Linked DNA regions of Callithrix jacchus. Each later gene encodes a partner of the first gene's protein in a complex. Links are inferred from orthologs where the notes say so. Each region holds a gene or a part of one and is shown in the gene's direction. Other genes may lie near its edges.

What was found.
Region 2: the proteins of UBA3 (region 1) and UBE2M are in contact, whole or in part, in a crystal structure (PDB 2NVU), measured with the Homo sapiens proteins. The link is inferred for Callithrix jacchus from reciprocal best matches to the Homo sapiens genes UBA3 and UBE2M. Residues at the interface, in NP_003959.3 of Homo sapiens: His53, Pro54, Asp55, Glu61, Ser62, Phe65, Cys70, Gln149, Asn152, Asp153, Thr154, Arg157, Gln158, Phe159, His160, Ile170, Arg173, Trp174, Ser181, Leu182, Leu183, Asn184, Pro192, Ile195, Val196, Pro197, Leu214, Met217, Arg254, Met255; in NP_003960.1 of Homo sapiens: Lys3, Leu4, Phe5, Ser6, Leu7, Lys8, Gln9, Gln10, Lys11, Lys12, Glu15, Lys21, Gly22, Ser23, Ser24, Lys25, Lys26, Ala27, Gln31, Leu32, Gln35, Lys36, Ile38, Asn39, Glu40, Phe51, Ser52, Asp53, Pro54, Asp55.

Annotation. Positions count from the first base shown.
Region 1 is NC_133516.1:50,876,888-50,880,696, reverse strand, and holds part of UBA3 (NEDD8-activating enzyme E1 catalytic subunit), read left to right. Parts: intron 1-229; coding exon 230-385; intron 386-1,196; coding exon 1,197-1,299; intron 1,300-1,449; coding exon 1,450-1,563; intron 1,564-3,809. UniProt on the Homo sapiens protein: Catalytic subunit of the dimeric UBA3-NAE1 E1 enzyme. E1 activates NEDD8 by first adenylating its C-terminal glycine residue with ATP, thereafter linking this residue to the side chain of the catalytic cysteine, yielding a NEDD8-UBA3 thioester and free AMP.
Region 2 is NC_133523.1:51,191,833-51,196,338, reverse strand, and holds the start of UBE2M (NEDD8-conjugating enzyme Ubc12), read left to right. Parts: upstream 1-1,703; 5' UTR 1,704-1,906; coding exon 1,907-2,015; intron 2,016-3,098; coding exon 3,099-3,193; intron 3,194-3,321; coding exon 3,322-3,360; intron 3,361-3,461; coding exon 3,462-3,565; intron 3,566-3,872; coding exon 3,873-3,936; intron 3,937-4,018; coding exon 4,019-4,159; 3' UTR 4,160-4,506.

The DNA of each region.
Region 1 (3,809 bases):
CATGTTTTTGAAAAATCAGTCTTTAATTTTGAATTAGGTATATATACTTCACTGTTTATTGCCAGTCATTGGTTTTCAGGTGAGGACAGAAATTGTTAGTATTGTAATTCCTTGATTTGATACATTGGTGTTCAGTAGCACAACTGACTCACAGGATTACTTGAAAACTTCCCTTTTTTTTGAATTCCTATCCCTTTCTCCTGTAAAGCCCTTCAAATTGTTTTCCTAGATATCTCTTCTAAATTATGAAGATGGTGTCTTAGATCCAAGCTCCATTATCCCTTTGATAGATGGAGGCACAGAAGGTTTTAAAGGAAACGCCAGGGTGATTCTGCCTGGAATGACTGCTTGTATCGAATGCACGCTGGAACTGTATCCACCGCAGGTAATCAAAAGAACACCTGTATTTCTTTTATAGTATCTTGGCATGGAATTAGGGATTAATTATTAAGTCTAGTCAGTATTTAGGGTTTTTAATTAGAGGTAGCCATATTTTAAAATTATGCTAAGAAGAAAGATAATAAAATAGGAAATTCTGTTCTATTTGAGGAAAGATATGAACCAAGTACATTGTTTTGATACTATTCTGTTTTCATACTTTATTTGTATTTTTTATTTGGGGAGTAGGTATCAAGTAGAATTACAAAGCTGTATGTTGATGTCACGCTATAATCTATGTGGTTTTCACCTGTATTTATTTCAGGGAAACACAGATACCAGGGATGAGAATGATCTTTCCAAGGAAGGAGCTTTTTTATTTATATACCCACTTTAAAGGACACTTGAAATTTTGAATAATAAATGTACACAATTTTATGAGTATTCACTTGGGATTCATTTAACTCTGAATTTGCTTTTGTTTTCGTTTGTTTTATACTTAAATATTAGGTAAACATAACAAGGTTCATATTTGAGAATCTGTTCTGCATTTTCTTCTCATAGTCTAACAAAGCTTAAATTTCATATACCTTGTAAATGTAGGGCAAACTTATCTTTATAGGCAGATCAACTTAAGTGAAGTGACTCAGATAATCTATATTAGTTTGAGAGGCATTTTTAATGGTATACAATGTTTTGAGTTGAAACGAATTATAGGAAACTGTTACGAACTAGATCATAACTGGAAGTTGCATTTTAAAATTACTAAATTTACTCATCATTTCAAATTTACTAAAAAGGACAAACTATGGCTTTAGGTTAATTTTCCCATGTGCACCATTGCATCTATGCCCAGGCTACCAGAGCACTGTATTGAGTATGTAAGGATGTTGCAGTGGCCTAAGGAGCAGCCTTTTGGAGGTAACAAATCTAATTTAATAATCTAGAATTACATAAAATACACATTATTTCTGTATTATTCCTTTGGATAATTTCATTAAAAACACTGTTTTGTGATTACATATTTCTGTCTTCTCTCCTCTCTCTCTTTTTTTTTTTTTTTTTAAACAGAAGGTGTTCCATTAGATGGAGATGATCCTGAACATATACAATGGATTTTCCAAAAATCCCTAGAGAGAGCATCACAATATAATATTAGGGGTGTTACATATAGACTCACTCAAGGTAAGTTAGTGAATTGTCTTGAATTATGATGTTGGGATGACTTAGGGCTGGGGATGCTTTTGGGAGAATAACTGATAAGTGAGTTTGGTATCATCCACCTGAAGTTCAGTATAGGTACCATGTAATTCATGCTACTTATCAGCTAGGGGGAATTTAATAAAATCACTGAATCTTATTTAGGCTGTCAGCCATCTATGTGAAACTGTCCACTTTATCTTCCACAGAATTCATCACCTCTTGGAGACAGTCTATTTCACATTTGGACAGGACTGTTAGACAAGTATTCTATAAATTGAACAGAAATCATCTTCAGGTTGGGCGCAGTGGCTCATATCTGTAATCCCAGCACTTTGGGAGGCTGAGGTGGGCGGATCACCTGAGGTCAGGAGTTTGAGACCAGTCTAACCAACATGGCGAAACCCTGTCTCCATTAAAAATACAAAATTAGCCGGGCATGGTGGCGCATGCCTGCAATCCCAGCTACTCGGGAAGCTGAGGCAGGAGAATCTCTTGAACCCTGGAGGTGGAGGTTGTAGTGAGCCAATGTTGTACCATTGCACTCCAACCTGGGCAACAAGAGCGAAACTCCATCTCAAAAAAAAGAAAAGAAATCGTCTTCAGTTTGGTCTGAGTATTGTCCAAATAGTATAGTATTATAAAATCTAATTTCCTTTTAAGTAATAGCCTTTAACACATTGAGGACAATGATCACATCCTTGGCAAATTTTTATCAGTGCCATAAACCTCCCTAGTTAGTTCCTTTAACCCTGTGTTAGTTCATTTTGCGTTGCTATAAAGGAATATCTGAGACTGGGTAATTTATTAAGAAAAGAGGTTTATTTTGCTCATGGTTCTGCAGGCTGTGTGAGTATGGCACCAGCATCTGCACAGCTTCTGGTGAGACCTCAGGAAGCTTTTACTCATGGTGAAAGCTAAGGGGAATAGCAAGACATGTCATATGACAAGAGAGGAAGCAGGAGAGAGAGGAGGGAGTACCAGGCTCCTTTCAACAACCAGCTCTTGCGTGAACTTAATATCACGGAGAGGGCACCAAGCCATGCATGTGGGATCTGCCCTAATGATCCAAACACTTCTCACTAGGCCCTACCTCCAACACTGGGTATCACATTTCAGTATGAGGTTTGGAGGGGACAAATATCCAAACTATATCAAACCCTAAGATACGTTGTACAGTTTCAGGTCCTCATGTTATTTTTTCTAACCGTATTCTAGCTATCCATACTGGTTAACTGGAATATAGTTAGAGAAAACAACTTCTAACTGTTTAGGTCAGCATGCAGCATTCTGGGACTGGTCTTATTTTAGGTAATAGACTTCTAATAATTGATGCAGTCTTAAAGGAGAGCAGGTATTTTTGTTGTTTATTTGTTGTTGACATTGATGCTATACTTTCCATTCTTTGATGTCACTAGCCACTAACAGCTGGATGTTTTGTCCACATAATGTAATTTAGCCACTAACAGCTGGATGTTTTGTCCACATAATGTAATTGCTAAGCAACATTTGCCTATTATAAACTTGATGGTGTCGGGGGAAGGTGTTCTTTTTTTTTTTTTTTTTAATATCCAAGTATATAGGTCCTTACAGATGTATTCTTGAAATTCAACTTGCTTTTCTCCCTTTATATGTATTCAATTCTGCCAACTTACCTGGTGTTTCTAGCTTTATTTCATCTGTTGTTTTGATAGTTATATCCTTTATTTTTTTTTCAAATAGTTGATCAAAATTTTTAACAAGACTGAACTGTCTGAGAACAGACATCTGAGTCATACCTCTAGCCAGGCTCTTTTAGGTTTATCTCATTCTGTTCAGCAGACCTTCTTGAGTACTTTGCATTTCTTTATCTTGTTCACAAGGATGTCATAAAAAACCTTTCCAGATCCTCTACTGAAGCCTAGGTGTACTATATTTTGCATTTTCCTGAGTTGATAAGCTAGTCATGGTAGCTAAATTAGGCTATTCCAACATGATTTGCCTAGTAACCAATTATGCTCAATCATAATGATCAGTATTTCTAATCTTGTTACAGTTTACCTTTTCTAGAATTTTGTCCAAGATCATTACCAAGTTAACCAGAATGAACTTTATCTTCTTTCTGAAAATCTGCCATTTCTCCCCTGTGATTATTTCCTTGTATTTATGATATTCTAGTAGCATCATTTTAAAATACTGTTATTCCAGTAGCCTTTTTTTAAAATTGCATTTATACTCACTCTTTGTTGCCC
Region 2 (4,506 bases), on another chromosome or scaffold:
TGGCCTCACGCACACTGGAAGGTTTCAGTCAGGAGTGGATTCAGCAGCTTAGGTGAAAGTGGACAGATGCTAAAAGCGCAGGTTGAGCATACTGCAAGCTTCAGGACAGCATCTCCGGGACCCAGTGCCATTGCCTATTTTGGCCCAGCCATCTTCCCCTTTCATCCCATTGGCCAGGTCCTTCACACAGCACCCCCCCACACACACACACACACCCCTCCGGCGGGTGACTTGGGTGCAGGTAACACAGGGTGGAAAGCAGTTTCAAAGGGGGTCTATGTGCAGCAGGGTCCAGCTTGAACCTTAAACCCCAGTCAAGGTCTCACTCTGGCTAGGTATCGGGCTAGCCTTGGCCCTGGACATTTCAAGGAACTAAGACTCAAGGCTTGTTGTCCAAGCTTCTTCCAGGGGTGCAGCCAGACTTTCCCCTGCTGCTTCTAGTCACCCCAACCCACAAGGCTGGAGGCGTGGCCTCAGGGAAAGCAGACAAGCCACCCTTGGCCAGAGACCACTCCTGGGCGAGGAGCTGCAGAATCAGAGGGGTGGCGCCTGGGCCCCTCCGCAGGCAAGTGCCACCACACCAAGCGCTCGCGAGCACGATGGTTTCCGTGGTGACGGCGGAAGTGGCTGACCCGCAGGGTTCTGTTTCCTCCCGCCCTCCCAGACACACTGAGCTGCGATTGGATGGGAAGCTGACTCCCGCCTATATCCCCTTTTTCAGATAGTGGGTTGAAAGCCGTGAGACCGCAGTGCGTCTCTGCTGGAATTGGGGGCCCACTCCCAGAGCTGCCCGGCTCCGCCCCCACATCGCGTTCCCCAAGTGTCCAGCCCGACAGGTCTTCCTCTACACCACCTTAACCCTCCAGAGTGCTTACCACCATCTGGCACAATACATGTTTTGTTAGTTTACCTCAATCAGAATCTCCAGGAACTGGGATCTTTGGGTTTGCGATGGGACAATGAAGGTGCTCGACCTCGCACCCTCTGGGTAACGCCTCTAGTCTCACTCAGAGTCTCGCCGCGATCACCCTGCCTTTGTCTGTGACCCATGGGGTCAAAGGCTCTGACCCACCCGCGCCGCGCTCTGCACAAGTACAACATAGGATGAAGTGACCGCGAGCGAAACACCCCACGTCTGCCCCACTCAAAGATGGCGGCTAACCACACTTCCTGCCCGACCCCGCTAGAGTCACCGGAAGTGACCCGCCGGGCAGCCGAAGCGTCAACTCCAAGAACGGAAATACCCGAATCCAGCCGAAGGAGGCCGAACCCCAAACTCCATCCCTGAGCAACGCGAGTTTGCCGCGGCTGCGCAGGCGCACAACGCAGGCCGGGCGGGAAGACCCAAAGCGGACAGGCGGCGGAAATATCCGAAGCGGCGGGGCGCCCGAGGCCGTTACCGACCTCCGCGCTAAAGCCGCTGCTGCCGCGGAAACCGATCCTTCAGTACTCAGCCCCCGTCACCGCGGCTGCCCCGTCCTCCTCCCACCCCGAGCCGCAGCTCCCTCGCGGACGGATCAGCTGAGCGGCCAAACGGCGCGGCCGGGGGAAACCAGAGTCCGCAGCTGCGGCGGGGCCTGAGACCAGAGCGGGCGAGGGCAAGGAAGGAGCAGCCGGGGGCGATAGGGGCGGGGCCGGGCGGCCCGAGAACACCCGAGTTTGGCCGAGCGCTGCCGTTCGAGCCCGAGACTCCAGGCCAGGCCAGAGCCGGACTACGGGAGCCGAGTCGGGCCGCGCGGTGGGCGCGGAGCAGAGCAGAGCGGCGCGGCAGGCCGGGCGGGTGGCGAGAGCCGCGGAGGCCGCAGCGGCGGGTCCGAGGAGCAGAGGCGACGCGGGCGGCGGCGGGAGGCCGGGTGGCCGGGGTCCCGGGCCCCGCGGCGGCGGCAGCGGCGGCGGCGGCGGCAGGATGATCAAGCTGTTCTCGCTGAAGCAGCAGAAGAAGGAGGAGGAGTCGGCAGGCGGCACCAAGGGCAGCAGCAAGAAGGCGTCGGCGGCGCAGCTGCGGATCCAGAAGGGTAGGGGGTCAGGGGATGGGGCTGGAGCCAGAGTCGGAGTTCAGGGCCTGAGGCTGGGTGATGTGGGCGTCAGGAGGGGATCATGCGATCGCCGAGGGTCAGAGGTGGAGGGCCCCTAGTGTAGCGGGTCGGAGGTCAGGTCTTGAGGGTTGGGGTCATGCAGTCACGGGGAGGGGGGTCAGAGATAGGGGCCCAGTGTGTGGTGGTTTAGGATATTAGGAAGGCCTGTGTCTGGTACGAGGGACCCGGAATCTCAGAGTCAGGCAGTGGAGTGGAGGAGCTGGGGACTCGAGAGTCTGGGGGTTAGACGGGAACTTGGGTTTGGGATGACAGGAGGAGAGAGGGATAGTAGAGGCCAGGGGCTGGGGATATGAATGGGAGAAGACTCCGTGTATCTCAAGAGTCAGACGGGTGGACTAGGTTGGAGGACCCGAAACTCATGGGCCTCAGAGTCACAGCAATTTGGGGTATGGGGTGACAGGTGGTGGAGAGAAGGTTAGTGACTACCAGGGATTGGAGACAGGGGTGAGAAGAAATTTAGCCTATTGTGCTGTGAACCTCGGAGTCAGAGGGAGTGGGCTAGGGTGATGAGGGTTTGGGGACTTGAGAGTGTGGGGGTCAGGTGGGAAGAAGGCCTTTTTCTCTCTCAGAGAAAAAGGACAGTGAGGACTGAAAATTGGTGAGGGTAGGCAGGACCCTTGACTTTGGGTGGACAGGTAGGAACATCTTGGATGGGGAGCCTGGGATTCAGGGTGGTCAGAGGATATTTGGAGCGGGAGCATTTGGGAGCTATGGATGCAGAAAATTGGGCGTTTACCCTGGGCCAGGAGTTGGGACACGCAGACTGAACATACCTGTTTGGGGTATGCCATATATCCACAAGAGCCAAACAGGAGAAGGGAGAGGGCTGGAGGTGTGGAGCACAGCCCAGGACAGAGGCTTGGGGGTCCAGGAGGAGGCCATAGGGGCTGTGCTGACAACACCTGCCCTAAGTGTCCTGCTGTCTCCCTCTTTGTCACTTTTTCCCCCTCCCTCTTTCTCCCTCCCCCTTTCTTTCCCCAACTCTCTGCTGCCCAAACCCAGACATAAACGAGCTGAACCTGCCCAAGACGTGTGATATCAGCTTCTCAGATCCAGACGACCTCCTCAACTTCAAGCTGGTCATCTGTCCTGATGAGGTGAGGGTGCATATGGCTGGATTCACAGAAGCAGATCAAGAGTGTCCCCACTGAGAGGACGGAGACATGTTCTGTCAGGCCCCACAGGATTGAACCCTAAAATCTTCTTCTCCCCCTTTCCCTCCCAGGGCTTCTACAAGAGTGGGAAGTTTGTGTTCAGTTTTAAGGTGAGTCCCAGGTGGGCAGGGATGGCTGCCTGGACTGAGGAGGCAGCAGCTGAGGCCCTTCCAGGCACCAATCCATCTCCCTTTTCTTTTCCTGGAACCAGGTGGGCCAGGGTTATCCGCATGATCCCCCCAAGGTGAAGTGTGAGACAATGGTCTATCATCCCAACATTGACCTCGAGGGCAACGTCTGCCTCAACATCCTCAGGTGAGGGCACTGGCCCTCTACTGCCTTCCCCAGCCCTGCCTGTCATACCCCCCTCATGGTCTTCTGGGCACTACATCAGTCTCTGTGCCTACCCACCCCTTTGTTGTCTGTGGTTTCTTCATTTCCCAGTCATCTTCCTCATGGCCTGACCTTGGTTTTCTCCCTGTCCTGGCCTGCTCCACACCCTCCCTCCCAGTCTCCCACATCCTCACTCTCCTATGCCCTGGATCTGACCTGTCCAATATCAGAGGGGCCTATGGCAATCTCCCACTCACCAAGCCCTGACCCTGATGCTCTCTGTCCACAGAGAGGACTGGAAGCCAGTCCTTACGGTAAACTCCATAATTTATGGCCTGCAGTATCTCTTCTTGGTGAGTAGGAATAGGTGGTTGGGTTTGGGGAGATCGGTCTTCTGTCTCTCTGGCCTGTTGACCCCACCTGTACTGGCCACAGGAGCCCAACCCCGAGGACCCACTGAACAAGGAGGCCGCAGAGGTCCTGCAGAACAACCGGCGGCTGTTTGAGCAGAACGTGCAGCGTTCCATGCGGGGTGGCTACATCGGCTCCACCTACTTCGAGCGCTGCCTGAAATAGGGTTGGCGCACACCCACCCCCGCCACGGCCACAAGCCGTGGCGTCCCCTGCAAATATTTATTGGGGGCCACCGGCAGGGGGTTGGGGGGCAGCCGGTGGGGGAATTCCCTGCCTTGGCCTTGCCTCCCCTTCCTGCTACCTGCCCCTAGTTTGTTTTTTTTTTTTAAACCACCATGTGATTAAGGTCGGTGTTGCCTCCCCCGACCCACTCAGCAATGGGAAATGAATTGGCTTGTCTAGCCCCCTGCTGGGTGTTTGTTCAGCCCCCACTCTGGGCTGTGGAGTGGGTGGGCAAGGGGCCTGGGTAGCTGGGCCCAGGCAACCCACCCCTCCACCTCTGGAGGTCC